Neodiprion lecontei: one gene and its partners. The protein of the gene in region 1 purifies or fractionates together with the protein of each later gene. This does not show direct contact. Links are inferred from orthologs where the notes say so. Each region holds a gene or a part of one and is shown in the gene's direction. Other genes may lie near its edges. The genes, in order: symplekin, uncharacterized protein LOC107221552 and cleavage and polyadenylation specificity factor 73.

Region 1 (7,074 bases):
CCAACGAAAATGTAAGTCAGTGACCACGGCGCAAATGATGAAGAATGATGTGTGTTGGAAAAAATGGAGAATCGTTTAGATCGAATATAGGTAACCGGGTAGGTAGGTGGACGTTTTGGGATCCGTCGCGGGGTTTATGCATGTGTGTGTGAGTCTCTCATTTCCGTTGGGAAACAGGCGAGGGTAGGAAGGTCGCGATGTGCCGTGATGTTACTAACTTTTGTAATCCACAGCGTCAAACGATCACAGAAATTTATTTCCCAAACGATTCCGTATTCAAGCCTCTCGACCATTTGTAAGCATTTGAGTATCAAAGAGATTGAATTTCCCGTTTCTTGTCACTCTGCAACCATTTTTCAATCGTTATTCAATTTAATTATTCAGTCATTAGCGATCATCATTCCATTGAATTGATCTCTGTGATCGTCTGAATGGGCAAAACGCATCTCTGGACCATCTATCGCGTTCCGTGGTACGCTAGATGGGGAGAGATGCTGAGCTCGAAGACTTCGCGTCGAAGAGGACCGCCGACCGTCACGCCACACAATAATGCATGCTCTCCAACCTCCCTCCTCATTTCAATTCGATTTGCAATCTGAGAAGAACAATCCGCATAGCAATGTATCTAATTCAGAAAGATGCAGATGTGGATTGGGTTTCTACAGAATCTTTGGGACAAGTCCCAGATAAACAAACTTTTTGACAGTTTAATCTGTCGCGCCTTTTTGCGCGTAGGTTAATCACGAGAATTGGACGCAGCTTTGAGCGCGTAAATTAATAACGGGAATCAGACACTTTTTTTGTGCGTCGATTCTGCAAACAATATACAAAAGAGTTACGCACTTTCGATGTGCTGACTTTTCAGCTCTTCGTTCAATTTTCTAACGAATATCAAAGTTTTCACGTTCTATGGCGCCTTTTGCGCGTGGACTTGATACCCTTCAGTTATAAGAGAAAACACGGCATTTGGAATCCGCCAATTTTTCAACAAATGCACTGAGAAGTACAGAATCTTTGGTCGAAAATGATGTTCACTTTAATAACTCAAAGCAGAAATAGATGTAGGTTCAAAAAATTTAGAATGTTTTTTATTATAAATACAATTAATAATCGAAGCAACGAATATTAAAATGAATATCATGTTGGACTCGACCCATTTTCTGACAATGTATGCACTTATGTGATCATGCTAACTACACCTTTGTCTGTTTCTGTTATTAAAACCTCTGTCTGTATCAGCTAACCAAACTTTTTGTGTGTTCCAGCTAATCAAACCTTTTGTCTGTTTCAGCTGATCAACCTTCTGTCTCTTTCAGCTAATCAAACTTTTTGTCTGTTTCAGCTAATCTAACCTCTTGCCTGTTTCAGCTAATCAAATCTGCAGTCTGTTTCAACTAATTAAATTGTATATTTTAACGTTAATTATATTTTTTACTTATCTAAGCTAAGTATAATTTTGACCATATCGATATATGTTAGTAATTATATTTGCATCTGTTCCAGGTAACTGAGTTTCAACATTACACTTTTTAGGCTTACGTCTGGCTTAGGTCTGGTTCAGAGTCAGTCATCTTGGTTTCACCGATACATAGATTTTCAACGATGTAGTTCAGAATCATAATGATCACAACGTATAGTAAAATTTATTCAGCCGTATTTTATTTAATGGTTTTACAGTCTTTTATTGCGATCATTTTAGTGACAGTTTTTTTTCTCAACTCGCTCATAGGTCATGTTTGGTTTGTATTTCACTGTAGAGTTATACAGCTCTAGTATTTTGGTTGTTGTGCTACTATTCTCCGTGGAGTAGGCCTACTGAGGAAACTACGTAAAAAAAACGCTCCGGGTGCTTTACCGCTTGCGGTGGTGAGGAAACGAGCATAAGTGAACTTATTTTCAAAGGTCAAATACTAATAAATTGTAGCTTTTCAAATGACAATTTTATTCTAACGTAAATTTAACTCATTGTCAATAAAACTCATGCTTCGATAGTGTGTAACTCATGTGGAATCGTAATACTTTAGGATTTCTCTAGTTTACTCAGAGTAAATTCCATGTGAATACATTTTACTTTTTGATGAATTTAATTTCTTAATACAAGTCAACAAGGTGCACATACCTTTGACAATTAAGAGTTTGGAAATTTCAACATCTTTCTCCCTTGCTTGACCTTTCGCAGTCGACACTACGGAAAAGTGTCGAAATTCCGGATGAAATAGTATCGACTTTTTCGGAAATAAATATTCTCAAACTCGAAAATCCTAATAATCAACACGGGCACTGCCATAAATATATAATAAAGTGGACAGATATACGTAATTATAATCTGGGCCACTTGATAATAAATTTCTGAACAATCTAGTTTGTGGGTCAGCGGACGGAATGACAATACAACCAGCTAATATGAGTAGAAGTTGAAGAAAGGAACCTTGATCATCTTTATATATTTTATTTAATACTTTTGTGATAATGATTTTCTGACTTTCATCGGGGTTGTTAAAGCATGGACTCATACATTAGTAACAATCTAGTCTTACTTAAATTCTGAAAAATATTTTCAAGTAGTACTTTTGCATAGAAAGGTCTAGGATTTCCGCTGCAAATAAACTGTATTTTTTAAAAACCACGAAATGTAACGTCAGTTAAGGAATTATTTTTACATGTCAGCTGCATCATTCTTTCGGAATGAAGATATGAGCGGTGCCTGAAGATAGATATTATTATCCTCAGTTAACGCTACAAGTCTAGTATTAAACATATGTACACAAATTACATAAGGTAGATGTAGGAACAACTGTATATCTTGATCCGTTGATTCACTTCTTCGGGTCTTCGACTATGTCTCCCATCCTTTGCATCAAGAAAAGGTTTCTAACTCTGTTAACAGTAAACCGGGTGCATGTTTATTGTGCGTCTATTTAGATAACATTATTTTTATCGAACCGATGGAGTTAGATTGACATTGCTGAATTGGGTCCAAATGAATTTGCGTAGTTGAAAAGTAAACGACGTCCATATGAGGTTTTATGAAAATTACAGTCTGTTCCCGTTCGTCGTTTCAAAGGCATAATAATATTCGACTCTGCATTATCTGGGCACACGCGGTGCACGATGGTAACATCAGTTCCTGTCGTCCTTATGTACCGACCGCTTGCCGGATTGAGTTGCGATTCCAAGGTAGGACTTGTATATCTTCAATCACGTTTCATTGTTCATGGCGTGAAAAGATTGCCAATATTGTAATTGGCCAATATGGCGTAGACGGACTGTTAGACGGAACTCAATAGCACCATAAATTGCTAAATAGCATATTAAAAAATCGCGTTACATTATATTTGCATTAAGATCACTTTGCAGACAAAATTACCGAATCAAATGGGAATATTTATTCTTACTCATTAACGTACAAAATCATATTTATTCTAGGATTCAAAAATCATGTACCCAACTATTACAAGTTTTTGACGTATCGGAGACTCAGCGAATTGTACATAAACGAAACATAATCAAACATATGTAGGATACACCCGCATATATTACATTTTATTATCGTCGCCAATTTTTCGCATTCAATCAGCAAGTCATCGCGTCCCATAAACTTGTCAATTCGCAAATACAATGGACCCACGCTTACACAGAAGACAAGAGTCTGAAAAAAAGGGCTCGAGCGACTTGGTCAGTGACATAACCTAAATTTTGACACGATACAAGTAAACAAACAAAAAAAAAGAACCTAGAAAAGAACACAAATATTTTAGTACTTCGAAGTATTATCACTCGCTTATTTATCAGTTCCACTAATAATGCATTTAGTTACTTACATCTGATTCTTCCATTACCTCTAAACGCGACGCTACTCTTGCAACGCGTTTCGAGGTAATCGCGGAATCGGATATAAATACCGAGCGCAGCTTAAATAGTCTATACATGAATGATTCTAAAATTTATTCAAAAGGTTCCTGTAATGACAATGCGAAAAAAGCATGTAAAAGAAAGTCGAAAAAAAAAAAAAATGGAATACATGTACTAATTTGTAATTACTACAATCTTGCAGGTCGTAGAATGGCTTAATGATGCTTCTATGAGCACAAGCGAATCCGTAAAATTAACCAATTTGGCCAAAGTTAATGAGTTTTTGATACACAAGGAACCAAAGTTGCTGGATCTATACTTGGACGAAACGTTGCAATTCTCTTTAGATAGGAGTAGCGAAGTTCGAAAACTTATCGCAGGATTTTTGGAAGAAGCTGGGTATTTGCAACTCACCTTTTATTATCATTCATAAGTCAGGATTTTAGTCTATTCGAGTTTTTAAACTCTATTGGAATACTCAGTGATTGTCTCAATGAAAAGAATGAGTACTAATACCAGACTTTATAATAGATTGTTCATTACAATTATCCTTTGCTTATTAATTATGCATTGATTGTTATCTTTACATGAGGAAGCCTAGAATTTACAATTAAAGCTTCAATTTCTGCTGCTGTTACCTTAAACTGGCTGAAACATATAAGAATTAAATTTACAAAAATATTTTTTAACCGTGCTTTGACCATCGTAGGTGTAAACAACCTGACCTGATTCCTCGATTAGTCCAAACACTTGCAAGATTAGTTGGAGATGATGCATCAGCTGTGATCAAACGGGCGCTTAGAGCAGCGGGAAGAATTCTTAGGGCAACATTGAAATGGATATCAAGTGTTGCGATTATTACAACAGACATGGAACTCGCTTGGACACAGCTGAGCAATCTGAAGGTTGCGATAATAAATATGATCGACAGTGACAATGATGGGTAAACAGAAACAAAAATTTTTCTTATTTTATTTTCCATATCTTATGTTCATTAGATGCTGCCAAAGAATATATGCTGATAAAAATTGTAAAACATGAGGCTGCACATGTCTTTTAGGTATTCTGTTTTTTCTTTCATCATTTTACCCTGACTATTTTGGTTACAGAATCAGGACGCAGGCAGTAAAGTTCCTGGAAGGAGTCGTTTTGCTGCAAACATATCCAGATCCTGACGCTCCAAAAAAGCCGGATGACTTCTCCTTAGAAGATATTCCATTAACACTAAAAATAGCTCGGAGAAGAAAACTTGAGGAGGAGGCAAACCATGTTATGGATTTGTTGATTAAATTTCATGGTTCTCCACACGTTAGTAGCGTCAATTTGATGACTTGTATGGGGTCCTTGGCATTGATTGCTAAAACTAGGCCTCAGTTTATGCGTCAAGTAATTCAGGGTAGGTATTTTTTCAGTATGTAGTTTCCTGCTCTCAGTTTGGCTGCAGTATTGTAGTGATAGCAGAGCTTGAAAATTCGAGAATTTTTAGCAAAGTTATTCACACCTTAGGCATTTCTATATTGAAACTTTGAAACAACTCTGATGCTCAAAAATGGTTAAGAACAATACTTAATAGATGAATAATTTTTGGTACCCAGCCTTACAACTCCTACAACATGATCTACCACCAACGCTGTCCGATTCACAAGTAACGAGTGTCCAGAAGCAACTTAAGCTCACGCTATTGGGATTGCTAAAACACCCTGCAAGCATAGAGTTCGCAGGAACGATGGCAAGACAATTGAACCAGCTCGGGGCAAGAGAGCAAGAAATCATGAAGGCCTATCCAAAAGTCGAGGATATTCGTAAGATGAAAAAACGGCAACAGGTAATTGCAATTGGAACTGAGCCTCATCTTACTTAAAAATATTCTGTTTACAAAGAATCAAATGATATTTCTCAAATCTGCAGGAAACAGCGGCAGCATCTGCAGCCAAACGTGCGAAATTGGAGGCTGCAATTGCAGTTGAAGAGCCTGAGCAGCAACCGATGGAAATTGAATCCGTGAAGCCTCCTGAATTGATTGAGCTTTCCGAAAATTTTATCAGTGACCGTCTAAGTGTGGAAATTGCCACAGAACTAGTTATGGATAGTATGGTATGTTAGAATAAGTTGAATAAATTTCGTGCGGTCTAAAAATGAAATTGCAAATGAAAATTATTTTAAAGAAATTTCGATAGGATTCATTGTATGAACTCGTACAACTAATCTATTTTATGCAAAATAATAATTCTATGCAATTTGCAGGCTTGGGTGCCAGATGTAATGACGTCAGTGTTCCAACGAGAATATCAGCCGACATCCACAACTGATATAAACGTGCAACGTCAAACTATCGCCAGGCTACTAGCCGTACAGATAAAGCAAGCTAAGGCCAAAAGGGTTAAGAGAGAAACGAAAGAGGAAGATGCGGTAATGGAGGACCTAATAAAAAATCCAACAATCACTGTAGCCGAGGCAAAACGTGAAAGAAAACGAGAAAAGGACAGGGAGAAAGAGAAAGAAGCTAAGGCTTCATTGGAGGCACACGAAAAGTCGCTTAAAATGGCGAAAAATCGTTTGAAAACGCTGAAGCTATCCGAAATTACAAAACCTCTTCAAAGAGAGACTAAAGAGAAAATGCTCCTTATGGCTGTAGGCAGAATTCTCGGAGCTGAGAGGATCGCTGTACTCGGTGGAGTGGCACCAGTCAGGTGAGTAATGAATTATAAGAAATTGTAGTCGGTTTTTGGGAAAAGTGTTTGAAAATGCGTATTGAAAAAATTAGCGAACCAATTAAAGTTATTGTTCATGTATTTTCGCGTGTTAGGTCCAAGATATTGACGACCCTAGCTGCTACGTTCAACCCATACATAAGGGAAGCTGTGCTCCGCTATATAACTGAGGACATGAGGTGTCGGCTTGATTTGGCCCTCGGCTGGCTCTATGAGGAGTACGCTTTGCTTCAGGGATTCCAAAGGCGTACAACACTGACGAGTAAACCGCAGGAAGCTCCTCATCAAGCCTACAACTTTTTACTCTGCACTTTAGTTTCTGCAATCGACTTGGTACCAGGGAAAGATCGCGATGTGTTGTTGTCGCGGTAATTAATGCAGAACAATGCAATTAACTTTTTTCATTGAGTATTATGACCAATGTTCTTCATTGTATTTGCCTTAGGTTGTATCTGGAAGCTCCTCTAATCACAGAAGATGCCGTGGAAGCTTTAAAACTGGTCTCGTCCGA
Region 2 (6,975 bases), on another chromosome or scaffold:
CAAACTCTGTGTCAGCTGTTGAAAAGGCGTCTACGTCAGTGTCATTATCTGTTGCAGAATAAGTGCTGCTATTTTTAAGATTCGGCTTTCGTCGCGATATTCTTTCTCGATTCCTGCGTTGATTTTGCTGTAATCTAATTAGGCAAGTATGAAATACAAGTGGTAATGACAATAACCTTTCAATCTGTACTTTTTTAATTTTATTGTTAGTTACGTTAAATTAGTTATACGTATTTCAGAGGGCTAGATATAACGTGATTATCGAAATATCTACAACTAAAAGGAGCCTACCTCAAAAGATCCAACTGTGCTTGTAGTTCGGCCATAGTTTCACCCATTTTATCCAAATCTCGTCTGACTCTTTCGGTCTGTTGTTGTTCTCTTATTTTCTGGTACACGAACAGACCCACAGCCCCAATAACGCCAAACGCTGCAGCAACTGCAGTCGCAATCAGTCGCGGAGAGTTTATATCACTCATGGTGCTAAATTGTGGATAAAACATAAAATGTATGATTAATTAAAGAAGTTATGAAATAATCAAAGCAGATATATACAAGGGCATAATTGTACAAAATTATGATATTGCAATTTTTCTATCTGTATGTTTAAACCGCATCACGTGCTTTGAAGTATTCAATGTGATTTTGGGTGGGAAATATTTGTTGGTGTTTCTGTCTATTGTTATACTGTACATTATCACAAAATATAGTTCTAAATTGTGTTTCAATATTACTGGGGAGCTTTTCTCATTCTGACGGACTCTTGGTTCATGGAATACATAAAGAGAACTCACGGCAGTTCACATAACAGATTTGGAAGAAATTTAGACTTTGAACTTCGAACGTGTGTCAAGTGTTTTTTCTTCACACTACGTACAGTTCTTACAGGTACATTAATGCAAAGCGGAAATGTATTCAACCAATCATACGTAAGATTTGAGAGGAAATTTCCACCTTTTCAATATACAGCTCATTGGTTATTTGTATTTCACAATAATTTGTGTAGCTAAGTAATGTGCATTCATAGCAAAGAATCTAATGTTTTCAGTGAACGAGCGGTCTTTTTGAATGTACAGTGATGAAAGATTTACCAATATTTGCTTATCAAATTTGTCAGACAGCAGACTAAAAGAGCGAACACTGTCAAACACTACATTACCTGTACCTACTCTGTGTTTCAAATGGATACTGTAACGTAGTGTCCTCAGTTTAAAGTTCCCTGTGCAACATTGAATGAACTTAATGCAGTGCACAAAATTTTGGCATGTCATTAGTATGGTATTTGACTTATGAGTGTTTCGTCATTAAGTAGAAATTGCGAAATAACGGTATAAACATTGTTTCGACACACGTTTATACGTCCTTGCAATTTCAGCACTGAAATACCTCAATCATTTCGTAGTAAGCTATCCTAATTAACAGGCAACATCGGTGTTTGTAACCCTGTTAAAATGGGAAATAATTTGCCAGGGTTGGAAAAAATAATTTGTTTGTTCGTCGTCTTGTATAGTATAAATTATGAAGAGTGACATGGCAAGTAACATTGAGCTGTAGAACTGGGTCAGATCAATTATAGCGTACGTTACATACGCATGTTTCATTTCGCGAGTATAGGCAAAAATGCTAGTGATAATGCATGTGCTAATTTCACGAAAGGGGAGTATGAATTATTTCTTCAGCAAAGTCGTATCAATCAATGGCAATACAGGCAGGTTTGGGCATGAATAATGGATAAATTAAACGGGTATAAAATAAGTAAACAACTATACTCGTCAACGTACGATTCTCGTTAGTTTTCATCCGACTTTTGGAACTGGTGAATTAACTGTATAATAAAGATAACTGTAGACAGGCCAAAAATTTTGTCATGTTTCTTCTAAATAATAATCAAAATTATCCAGCAGCACACTGCAGCACGCGACTCTTTCACATTACACCTTTACATGGTACATACAACTAGTCGCGTTTTCAGCGAGTCTTAAGAATCGCGTATATACTGTTGTGAATCCCCTCGCACCACACATCAAACTGACATTTTTCTTTCTTATTTTAAAACCAAGGACAATCTATCCAACGCTCAATTTTTGTAAAACACAAAAAGCCCTTTTCGACATGCAGTTGAACGTTTCTGCTTTGCGAAAGAAGCGTGCCGCAACTGTTTTTCACTTCCGCCGGCGGCCCATAGAGGCGTAAAAGTCGCTGGAAAAACAAAAAAGCATCATTCTTGGCGCGTCATATGAATCGAATGACTGATGCATATGATTTACAAAAAAAAATTTGGTTATACTTTCAAACTCATTTACACATTAGCAAGCGATTTCTGGACAGTTGATCGGCTCATAGTTTTCGTGACTACATTTTACTTACTTATGAAATTCGGAAATCGGATTTTGGGCGTCCAACGATCCGTCGATTGCGAACAACGGGACCGGTGGAACAAAACTCGAATCTCGGCCATTTCCGTTAATCCGAGCGTTAATCAAGAATTACGTTGCCGAAAGATATATTGTATATCGTATAGCTTTAGTTTTTAGCCAACGAAAATTATAATGCTAACTGTCCGAACGCCTGTTGGATATCGACGCTGAAAGTATATGAGGATCTGTATTAATTGTTCCAATCATCATCGTAACACGTATACATTGCGGCTACAGTGCGCAGCTCTGACATGACAGAGGTCGCAGTAATCAACATTATTAGGTATCCGAGCGGAACGCCGGATTTTCGAACCGGAAGTGGCAGGCAGTGTCCAGCAGTGTCTTCGTCAGTCTTCATATACCTATCATGGAGTCGTTAGCGTCCGTGCACAATATTCCCTCAAGCTGTCGGTCGTAGTCTGTATTATACGCGTTGAGATTTCAAAAAAGTTGATGACGCTTGTCCAGGGAGTGTTCGCTTGGCGCTATATTTGCAGTATTATTGTAAATAAAGTGTTTGGTAATTTGTGGCCTTAGAACGTTGAAGTGTTTTGTGTACGTCGAAGTGGTGACCTGGGAGTAGGCCTCGACAAATATAATCGTGACGATACTGCAGCAGGTTGGTCTCACTATTTTACCGTATTATGTATATCAATGACCCGACATAAACTTCGATTAAATTCACTACAGTAATCGTCTCTGCCACGAGTTTACTTCACCATTACCGACTAACCTTCAAACATGGTTATTCGATGCCACACATCCCCACTACAATTTTTGCGTCATCATATCCCTAGTGCTTCGAAAGTTGGCACATACACTTTCATCAAAATTTTCGTTGTGGGACGAAACGTTTGTTTCGCTCGCCTCTTCAATTTACTCATTCTTTCACATATCCAACACTTGTCCAATGTATTTTTTCCTTTCTAGTTTTCTCTTACCATAAATACAAGTGTTAGGCACCTGTGCTGGCACTGTTTGCAACACGGGTTTCTACAATTACTGAACACATGTTATTTCGTTATTTCACTCTGTTATTTGAAGTTGAAAATAAATGAAAAAGGAAATGTTTTGCTCCTGTGAAAGTATGTCTTGCATCTTATTTTATTGCTTTGTCAGCACTCTTCTACAATCCATTATCAACTACGAATTTTTATCATCAATTACGGATATTCACAACGATGCAGAACCTACAATTTTTGTAACTATGACTTTTTTAATTTTATTTCAGATATTATCGCAAGGATGGCGTTACTACTGTTAAATGTATTTCGTGACTTTGTTCTATAATATGTCTCGGGATCTGAGTCTAAGAAGAAGAGACCTTGGTTTTAGATAAACTTATTTAAATTATTTCATTTTCCAAACCATCAATATGTCTGTCAATGCTCAATTCGCCAATCCACCCCCGGTGATAAGTTTACCAAACATGTCGGTTCCACCACCCATTGCAACGCCGAATTTATCTGCACCTCCTCCTAATTTAACAACTATAAATACTACGACTGGAGGTTATCAGCACAGATTTGGTACTCACAGAGATGGAAATCGTGGTTTTTTCAAACCATTTCGACCTTATCATGCCCCGAAAGTTATAGCTGGTGGTCAAGATGCGTTACAAGATGAATTCGATGGAAAGAGACTCAGGAAATCTGTGATGCGAAAGACGGTCGACTATAATGCTGCTATTATTAAAACCTTGGAGGTAATAAATTACTCGTATAAACAAATTACTTTGGTTCCTGTTTGTAATTTCATATTTTTTTTATCTCGTCAGAATGTTCAGCTGCTCCTTTGAAGCTTCTAATACCTCTAGCATCTTTCTTCTTCGTGTAGGTGTAGATTAAATTTCCATCTTTTTGTTACTCAGAATCGGGTTTGGCAGCGAGACTACAGAGACAGAAGAGCTCTTCAGCCTGACGTTATATATTATCCTGACCTTCTGCCACCACCAAGCTACGTTGATAATCCAATCAACGCAGTGACAACAAAATTTGTCAAAACAGCAACGAATAAAATGAGGTGTCCAATATTTTGCATGGCTTGGACCCCCGAAGGAAGAAGGCTTGTCACTGGTGCATCGAGTGGCGAATTCACATTATGGAATGGGCTTACTTTTAACTTTGAGACTATTCTACAGGTGGGGATATATCAAGAAAATTTACCACTTTTTTGATAGTCTATTAGTACATGGACCTAATATTCTTGCTCTATGAATCTGTTACAGCCTCTATTCTCGTAAATCGCTATTTTTTTTATCTGTAAAAGATTATGAGATTCGTTAATTCAATGTCCATGTGTATCTGAGTTACAAATATAGTTCTCAGAGGTCATTTTCGTTTATGAAAAAATCTTGGCTTGGTTTTTCATTCTCCTTGTCATGTCAACAAATATCACGATTCTCAGAAAATTGAATTTAAAATGTCAAATAAACAAACTGTCAGTAAGCAAAGATAAGCAACACATCTCTAACTTGGTGTGGCTAATTGAAAATTTGCAAAATATGGTTTAATATTAGCATCTCCTCTTGAGTGTCGAATTAGTCAAAAATGAACCTAATGTGATGGAATAACCTTGTAAAATGTCCCGACAGGGCAGTTAAAAAATAATCATTCATTCTTCCATTTCTTAGGCTCATGACAGCCCTGTACGTACAATGGTTTGGTCCCACAACGAAAGCTGGATGGTGACGGGCGACCACGCAGGCTACGTTAAGTACTGGCAGAGCAACATGAACAACGTCAAGATGTTTCAGGCGCACAAAGAGGCTATTAGAGGACTCAGGTATAGCATCTACCACTCTAGTCCTTACATCTATCGTGACACTGTCCTTCACGGCCGATTAACTTATGTAGCAATCAGGACACAGGACGTGGGTTTCATTTTGATGTATTTTCCATTTAGTAAAACGTTTGAGATCAAGTTACACCTTCTCATTTGGGTACATAGGTGAAGTGTTTTTCTTGTTTCTTTAGTGTGGTCTGTTCTTATCAATGATCTGAGCATTCAGCATTTTTTTTTTAATGCTGTCTCCGTTTGTTTGTACCTTAGATCCAGTGTATCGGCAATCAGGGTGTTAACTAGATCAAATATAGTACTTTGGTTTGTGTATGTGCGTCGAGATTGCTATATCTTATGATTACAAACAACCGTTTTTGAATTTTTTTTTTTTACACCTACGAAGCTGAACTGAGGTGACAGTAGCATATTAAAATCTGGCCAGTATGAAACTCAAAACGTCATTCGAATCTTCCAAGTATTACGAATAATAAACAATCGTATCAATCATGACTTTGTGAGGAACGAGACATTTATCAGGGTCAGGGATTGATTTACAAAAAAAATTCTTTGAATCTGTTCGTATAATTAATTTTGCGTTACATACTAGTAGGTAGTGCTTTGAAAAGATTATTGGGCAGTACGCGAAACACAGGTGAAATCGCAGCATGTATTGAATAGATAGGTTCAATGGATCCTCGATTTTACAGTATAGTTACCTGTTCTGAGAGCCATCGGGATCTTATCTTTGCATGCAATGGACCATATTCAACCATTTTTATCTCAGGCTCAGAAGTTTTGCATATACTGAACAGTTACCGATGTTTTACATTAATTACACACTATAATTTTGTGGTCAAATTTCCACTCAAGAGTTCAAATAGGTTTACGCAAACGAGCTTCCTTTATCTTGCAAACGTATTTCTTTATTCCCAGTCTATCCCTGTAATTATGTTCATTTACTTCAAAGTCTTGTAATATTTCAATGCCGGTGTGTAATTGCGGGAAGAAATTTAAGTAGAAGCGCAATTGGGACCTTATGGCTGTCAGGAATAAAGTTTGTATACAGGATAGGATATTGGGCAAAGATGTATCGTAGAATAAAGAGAAGATGGTAATATTGATAATAATAAAACTAAAGAAAAAATACAGCAGCACCCAGTCGAGATTCCCATCGAATATATAATAAAGAAAAATATCCTAGCTCCCTTCACATCATCCAAAAATATCAATATAAATGAATAAATACTTCACTATATTATCACATATATATTTGCATTAATAAAGAATGATCATTATATATCTTCCTTTGTTTTGTGTTGCTCTTGTCCTTCAGAAAACTGATTATCTTAAATAAAGACAAATTTGGAAAAAAAAATTTATTAATAAAATAATGAAGGAACATTCTGTACACATTAATCGTTTTTTTTTATGAAATAAACGTTAAATTTGAGAAAAAATAAACCTAATTTTCGTACATTCTCCGGTGGTCATGTGGCATCGAAAACACATTGTGTACGTGTGCAAATTGAGCTCAGTTATTGCTCATAAACTGCAGAGTGTATTTTGAGTGCCAGATATGACTGTCGGAGATGGCTTTTTGTTTATTTACAATATTTACATCTAGTTGATCCTTTTATTAGAAAATATACCATGTCCATATTTTGGACTCTGCTGATACATTAACAAGATTTCAGAACAGTGACTTAATAAAGTTCTAAGTTAAGTCAAGAACACTTCCACATACACATTTCCTACCTTTTCTCCACGTGCAGTGCGA
Region 3 (6,935 bases), on another chromosome or scaffold:
GGTTTGTAAATGATGTCCTGGATTTTAATCAAGCTTATTTTTGAAGGGGTCTGTATATCTGCAATCCCCGTATTTTAACAATAAATAAGACAAGCGTGTATGTATATTTGATCTTTATTGTGTAACTTATACATCATGGCACCATGGCCAGAGTTTTTACACAACCCACCTAGAGCCAACATCGTAGTCATCCAAATGTGCAATTGTGTAGCTAAGCAGCATGCGCGTTAGATTAGACGCAGTACTGTATATAATGTAAATATGTACATCAATTATATTTTATAATAGGGCCAATCAATCACCCGGCAATTGAATATTGTATGAAACTTGATTCATGCTATACGAAGATACAGATAGGATAATTATTATCATTAAACAATTAATAAATCAACATGTGTACACCTTAATAAAAGTTATGTATTGAGGTACGTTTCTTTGTAAATAAGTTTCTTCTAACGTTGATCTATTCATATATAGTGTTTGATCACCATGTTTTCATATCCTGAAAATATCAAGGATGAACATCAAACTATTTACTAAATTGAAACATTCTGCAAATTATCCCGAATGACGGTAAAAATAGTACAAGTATATATATTTTACATTTTATAAACGATTTAATTAAGTATAATACATGTTATTCTTATATCTGTTTCATCTCGGAACAGATATTTTTGCATTTAAATGCACTGTCAGATTCAAATTTGAACATATTTTCCAGCCTCGCCACTATAGCGCTCAGATCACAGGCGGCCATCTTGTGAAAATTGTGGAACAATTGCTGGCCCCTCGATTACCGACAGAAGACAGAAGGGAATGTGCGTCGAGAAGTCGGGCGCGTCAGAACATCCGCTCTGTAGTTCGCGTCGGTTCGCATCGCGATGCAGTTATCGTATATATTCGGCGCGATTGTTTTGTATATAATTATACTGTGCTCAGTGCCATAATTCATTTGTAAATGTTCTATTTATCTAACAACTTGCTCGTGTTAAGCGAAAGTAAATTATTTCTCAATAAATAAAAGTGTGATGTAAAGGTGCGTAGTTGACCAGTAATGAATCAGTACGACGAAATATAATTTTTCAAGTGCTAAACATTTGCCGATCGCAGTTTGTTTTATGCAGCTTCTTGGAAAAAAAAACGACACGTTATTTGCTCTGTAAAGTCTCCGTCGACATCTTTGTACCTTTTCTATTATTATACTTCGATATTTATGTATCGGATTTTATGTTAACTGTAACATTAACTTATTAATTACGTAGTATATCCGTAATCATCTAACTGCGATCAGCGATCAAAGTTCGATTTGAAATGATACGAACCTATGTTTACCCGGACGCATTCATGAATATCACGAGTTACTTATTCCAATGTTTTGTTGCTTTTGTATCCGGCTGATTCGCCTAAGTGAAACTCATATGAAAGATTTCCACTTATTGTTAAGGTGAGAAATTTTACTGTTATTTTTCATGCGTCAGTTTTTAGACGTTTATAAAATTGCTATTGTCAGTTATTCGAATTATCTTTCGGCTACGGGAAGTAAACTGATTTTCGGTCATCATTTTAATAATTATGTACGGAGATCGACGATAATGTAAGTGTTTGTGGTTCAAGCGATCGGAGTATATGGAAGTGAACTTTTAGCATCGCACAGGCGGTAACCGAATGGATGTACTCTATGGGTCAGCCAAAGTAAGTCTAGCACACAATTTATTATTTACAATTTTCTGGCTTACGACTCTAAATGACAGACCATGCATGCACAAATATTGTTGCGATGATTTTGCGTTGCCTTAACACCGCGTTTATATCGTCCATTTAGAAGAAATCAAATTTCGAATGGCTGTGAAAAATTGTGCGCCTGCTGATACGCAACCAAGTACAGACATGTATATATAAGTATATATATCATCCATAGAGATATATCGTCACCCGATACTCTACTTCATTGTCGATAGTAATCAAAATGGAAATAGCTTAATTAATGAAACCATAGACTTATATATAAAACAGACTGAGCATTAGGTCGGAGCGAGTGTCCCCTGAACCTCGATTCCCCCGTTTTTGGTGCTATCCTTGTCTTACATCCGCAGTTGATACTGCCATCTCTTTCTAGCGATCTCGGGGTGGGGATATGTAGGATGGCATACCTGCAACTGCCCCTCACTTGCCTTTCTCTTCCCCTCTAAGCGCTTGGCTCAGAAAACCCCATAAGAAAGAAAGAGACAGCATCAACAACGTTAGGCGTTCCAGGGGTCGAGGGAAATGGCCGGGGTGTTCAGTCTACCTTATAGGTATATAAGTCTATGAATGAAGCTTTGTGTTTATGTTATTGTGCCTTGTGTATGCCTACGCGTGTGTCACTGCGATGAACCAATTTGAACGCATTCATTCAATTGTTTCGTGCAAAACGTGAATTACGCAGATTTCTTGCGTTGCCGGTACCTAGTTTGCAAACTGTTTTAATTTCGCGATACACCGGACTGCTAGTTGGACTTGGACATGTCCATACCTTTAAACTTCAACGATACAAATCGATATAGCACGATATTTCAATGAATAATGATATCGAAGGAGTTATACTAGGTTGAGAGTTGTTTCTACACGTGAAGTCTGTTATTGATTAACAAGTGTATATTCGTACGTGTCTCGGGATAACACAACCTAAAAAATGTCATCTAAACGGAAGCCGGACACCCAAGTGCCGGCAGAAGAAAGCGATTTACTTTCGATTCGGCCGCTTGGTGCCGGACAAGAAGTTGGAAGATCTTGCATTATGCTGGAATTCAAAGGAAAAAAGATAATGCTGGACTGTGGAATACATCCAGGTCTCTCCGGCATGGATGCTCTTCCATTCGTTGACTTGGTAGAAGCCGATGAAATCGACCTGCTTCTGATATCTCATTTTCACCTCGATCACTGTGGAGCCTTACCTTGGTTTTTGCAAAAAACTAGTTTTAAGGGACGTTGTTTCATGACTCACGCGACAAAAGCTATATATCGCTGGTTGTTGTCCGATTACATAAAAGTCAGTAACATTGCCACGGAGCAGATGTTGTATACCGAGTCTGACCTAGAAACTAGTATGGATAAAATAGAGACGATAAATTTCCACGAGGAAAAAGATGTCTTCGGTATTAAATTTTGGGCATATAATGCTGGCCACGTTCTTGGCGCTGCTATGTTCATGATCGAAATTGCTGGTGTTAAAATACTGTACACAGGTGATTTTAGTCGGCAAGAAGACAGGCATTTGATGGCTGCCGAAATACCAAACATTCATCCTGACGTTTTGATAACTGAATCCACCTACGGAACTCACATTCATGAGAAGCGGGAAGATCGAGAAGGAAGATTTACTAATTTGGTACACGAAATTGTGAACAGAGGCGGAAGATGCTTGATTCCTGTATTTGCCCTGGGACGAGCACAAGAGCTACTGCTAATCCTGGATGAATACTGGAGCCAACACCCCGAGTTGCATGAAATTCCCATTTATTATGCTTCGTCTTTGGCCAAAAAATGTATGGCAGTTTATCAAACTTACGTTAACGCGATGAACGATAAAATACGGAGACAGATAGCAATTAACAACCCTTTTGTATTCAAGCACATATCAAACTTGAAAGGGATCGATCATTTCGAAGACATAGGACCTTGTGTCGTTATGGCATCTCCTGGTATGATGCAGAGTGGCTTGTCCAGAGAATTATTTGAGTCTTGGTGCACTGATTCGAAGAATGGAGTAATAATCGCCGGTTACTGCGTAGAGGGGACTCTGGCCAAAACAATCCTCTCCGAACCCGAAGAAATTACAACCATGTCTGGTCAAAAATTGCCTTTGAAAATGTCAGTGGATTATATATCATTCTCAGCCCATACCGACTATCAACAGACGTCAGAGTTTATTAGGATTTTGAAACCACCACATGTTGTATTGGTTCATGGGGAACAAAATGAAATGGGCAGATTAAAAGCTGCTCTACAAAGGGAATACGAGGACGATCCACACACCATAATGGAGATACACAATCCTAGGAATACAGTGGCAGTAGAGCTGTATTTTCGTGGTGAAAAAACAGCAAAAGTTATGGGAACTTTAGCTATGGAAACTCCAAAACCTGGACAGAAGTTATCAGGTGTTCTGGTGAAAAGAAACTTCAATTACCACGTACTGGCGCCTTGCGATTTATCGAAGTATACCGATATGAGCATGAGCCAGGTGGTTCAAAGACAAAGCGTACATTTTTCTACATCGTTACCGGTATTGAAACATTTGCTAACGCAAATTGCTGGAAGCATAGAAAATATCGATGATAAAAAGATGAGAGTATTCAAAAATGTTGATGTTATTGTAGAAGGAAAAGTTGTCACAATGGAATGGATAGCGACTCCTGTAAACGACATGTATGCAGATTCAGTTTTGACTGCAATATTGCAAGCTGAAATGATGGAACAACCGCCGAAAACACTCCCTGCACCAACGAAAATGGACCGAATGCATTTCAAGGAATGTCTGATAGAAATGCTTCAAGAAATGTTTGGTGAAGATTCGGTACCCAAAATTTTCAAAGGCGAAAAACTATATGTTACAGTTGATGGTAAAAAGGCTCACATAGATTTGTTAAATTTAGAAGTAACAAGCACGGAGGATGAAACCTTTCAACAAATAGTCCAGACTGCCGTTTCCAAGTTACATCAGTCATTGGCTCCGCCATGCGATACTTTATAAATTTTTACATTTACAACCTTGTAAATCTAATTCATTAAATATTCCATATCGGATCGATATTTTCAACATGCAATTTGTACTTCTCTTTTCCTAAACCAATAGATTTAAATTATGATACATAGCTAATAATTTTAATTGTGTATATTTTTCTACAAATTCAGCAATACAAGTTGATTCGGTGATAGCAGCAATATGAAGATTAGTAAATGCTGCATTAAATATAATTGTTATTAACAATAGTTGTATAAAAATGAACAATTCAATTTTTATCATGATTTTTTCTGTGTACAAAAATTGATCCATCTATATCGCAATGACACGAATTTTGCATGTAAACTTACCACTATTATTCAATGTTTTAATTCTACACAATTTATGAGATCTATTACACTTAAATAACCTATTTCAGAAGTTTGAGAACTTGACATAAATAATATTTACAATTAGTGGATCTTATAAAAGTTGTGATCATTTATAAAATATTCGTAATTAAATTCTTAACATATAAAAATTCGCAAAAGCGAAAAATATATAAATTAAAATAAATAACGTCTTTCAACAATTAAAAAATACATTCAGATGATTCTATGGGCTTCTGAACAGTGTATTCTGTTAGACTGCCCCACGTCGGACCAACTCTGATTTTAACAGGCAATGGAATTGTTAGCTGATATGCTTCTTCCATTGAAATTTTAACTATTGCTGCAACACGATCAAGATCTGCGGCATTCACCTGTAAGAGTATCATGATTATTTACCCATTTTGATTTTATTCTTGTGCAACAATTCATCCTCATGCAGAGAATTGTAACGGAAAAAATGACTAGTATAACTGACCTCGTATAGGAGTTCGTCGTGTAGTTGCAGAACTAAGTAGGCCCCTCTATTCTGCGAATCTTTGCTGCTCCTTAGTTTTCTAGTTTTCATTTCTGAAATGACTCTAGATGTATCTGAATACTCTTTCTGCAGTCTTTCATCTATTAGAACCATAGCTTTTTTAGCCAAGTCCGCTGCTGAACCTTGAATTTTTGTATTCACTGCTTGTCTCTCTGCTTGAGCTATAGTAAATAAACGTTCGCAGTAAATTGGAAAAAAACTCGCAGCAGAGAAAATTTGTCGCTACTCACATCTTTCACTTTTTATCTCACTATTTAGACTCGGAAGTAATCTGCGCCTTTCCATTAGAGTCGTTACATATCCATTTTCTCGGCTTTCGGTTATCACCTGATTAAGCCAATTATTCACGTTTGGATAAGTTCCCATAAAACTTTCCATGAACCTGCTTGCTTCTAATTCAGTAACTGATAATTGCTTTGCCAAAGCCCTCGAACCCATGCCATAAATTATTCCATAACAAAGCTGTTTTGTGCGTTGACGCATATCATCATTTACCTGAACAAACAAAGCATACATTGATTACTATAAAAAATCAAATGTGATATTACAAAACCCGTGCTTCATGTAGTTATTGTTGAAATCAGGATGTTCTTTCTTACCTCAGACGGCTACAAATCAAAAGTCATTTCAAAACAGAAATTTGTTTGCCGATTGAATAATATAGAGAAGATCTATCAATTATTGGCATAGGGGACTGCGTCAAAGAATTCGTACCTCATTTATGGTTATATAGTTCCACTGCGCAGCAATGTTCTTGAAAATGTCAGAATCCTTTTTCATTATTTCACACAAGACGGGATCTTTTGAAAGATGTGCCAATATTCTTAGCTCAAGTTGACAATAATCTGCTGATAACATGATATTTCCACAGGTGGGAACAAATGCCATTCGCATACTAATTACATAACTATTATTTTCAGAATTAAAATCTCTTGGAACATTCTGTAAATTTGGTTCGTGCATTGATATACGGCCAGTGGCTGTACGTGTTAGACAACACCCTCGAACTCGTGGACCTTGTTGCACCAGGTTTAATAACGGAAATACCATCTGAAAAGAAAACATGCTTAATGTTGTGTAAATATTATCATTGAAATTTGAGCAATTTCTTGTTGAAACAATAGACTAACTTTTGTCTGCGTTGTATTAAGTTTCCGCCAAGACATAATTTGTTTAGATATTGGATTATCGCAATTTTCTAGTACGGCTTTATTTGTGCTGACTTTAACTCCCTTGTACATCCCGAGAACCTGTGACAAGTCATGGGAAATATTAATAATTTTGTTTTCGCAATAAATTTCGTCCA

The links.
Region 2: the proteins of symplekin (region 1) and uncharacterized protein LOC107221552 purify together in Homo sapiens (affinity purification with mass spectrometry; 4 studies listed by BioGRID and IntAct, with this or other methods). This does not show direct contact. The link is inferred for Neodiprion lecontei from reciprocal best matches to the Homo sapiens genes SYMPK and WDR33.
Region 3: the proteins of symplekin (region 1) and cleavage and polyadenylation specificity factor 73 fractionate together in Homo sapiens (co-fractionation; 6 studies listed by BioGRID and IntAct, with this or other methods). This does not show direct contact. The link is inferred for Neodiprion lecontei from reciprocal best matches to the Homo sapiens genes SYMPK and CPSF3.

What each region holds. Positions count from the first base shown.
Region 1 is NC_060261.1:29,145,847-29,152,920, forward strand, and holds the start of symplekin, read left to right. Parts: upstream 1-3,242; 5' UTR 3,243-3,618; coding exon 3,619-3,675; intron 3,676-4,054; coding exon 4,055-4,251; intron 4,252-4,561; coding exon 4,562-4,795; intron 4,796-4,961; coding exon 4,962-5,248; intron 5,249-5,447; coding exon 5,448-5,677; intron 5,678-5,760; coding exon 5,761-5,946; intron 5,947-6,096; coding exon 6,097-6,542; intron 6,543-6,658; coding exon 6,659-6,931; intron 6,932-7,008; coding exon 7,009-7,074. UniProt on the Homo sapiens protein: Scaffold protein that functions as a component of a multimolecular complex involved in histone mRNA 3'-end processing. Specific component of the tight junction (TJ) plaque, but might not be an exclusively junctional component. May have a house-keeping rule.
Region 2 is NC_060263.1:39,487,968-39,494,942, reverse strand, and holds the start of uncharacterized protein LOC107221552, read left to right. Parts: upstream 1-2,755; 5' UTR 2,756-3,036; intron 3,037-3,648; 5' UTR 3,649-3,792; coding exon 3,793-4,122; intron 4,123-4,287; coding exon 4,288-4,557; intron 4,558-5,049; coding exon 5,050-5,201; intron 5,202-6,975. Other genes in the region: regulator of microtubule dynamics protein 1, read right to left, coding at 1-134, 292-483, 735-781. UniProt on the Homo sapiens protein: Essential for both cleavage and polyadenylation of pre-mRNA 3' ends.
Region 3 is NC_060260.1:5,311,433-5,318,367, forward strand, and holds cleavage and polyadenylation specificity factor 73, read left to right. Parts: upstream 1-2,196; 5' UTR 2,197-2,671; coding exon 2,672-4,732; 3' UTR 4,733-4,798; downstream 4,799-6,935. Other genes in the region: DNA polymerase theta, read right to left, coding at 5,295-5,465, 5,570-5,790, 5,860-6,124, 6,344-6,679, 6,760-6,879. UniProt on the Homo sapiens protein: Component of the cleavage and polyadenylation specificity factor (CPSF) complex that plays a key role in pre-mRNA 3'-end formation, recognizing the AAUAAA signal sequence and interacting with poly(A) polymerase and other factors to bring about cleavage and poly(A) addition.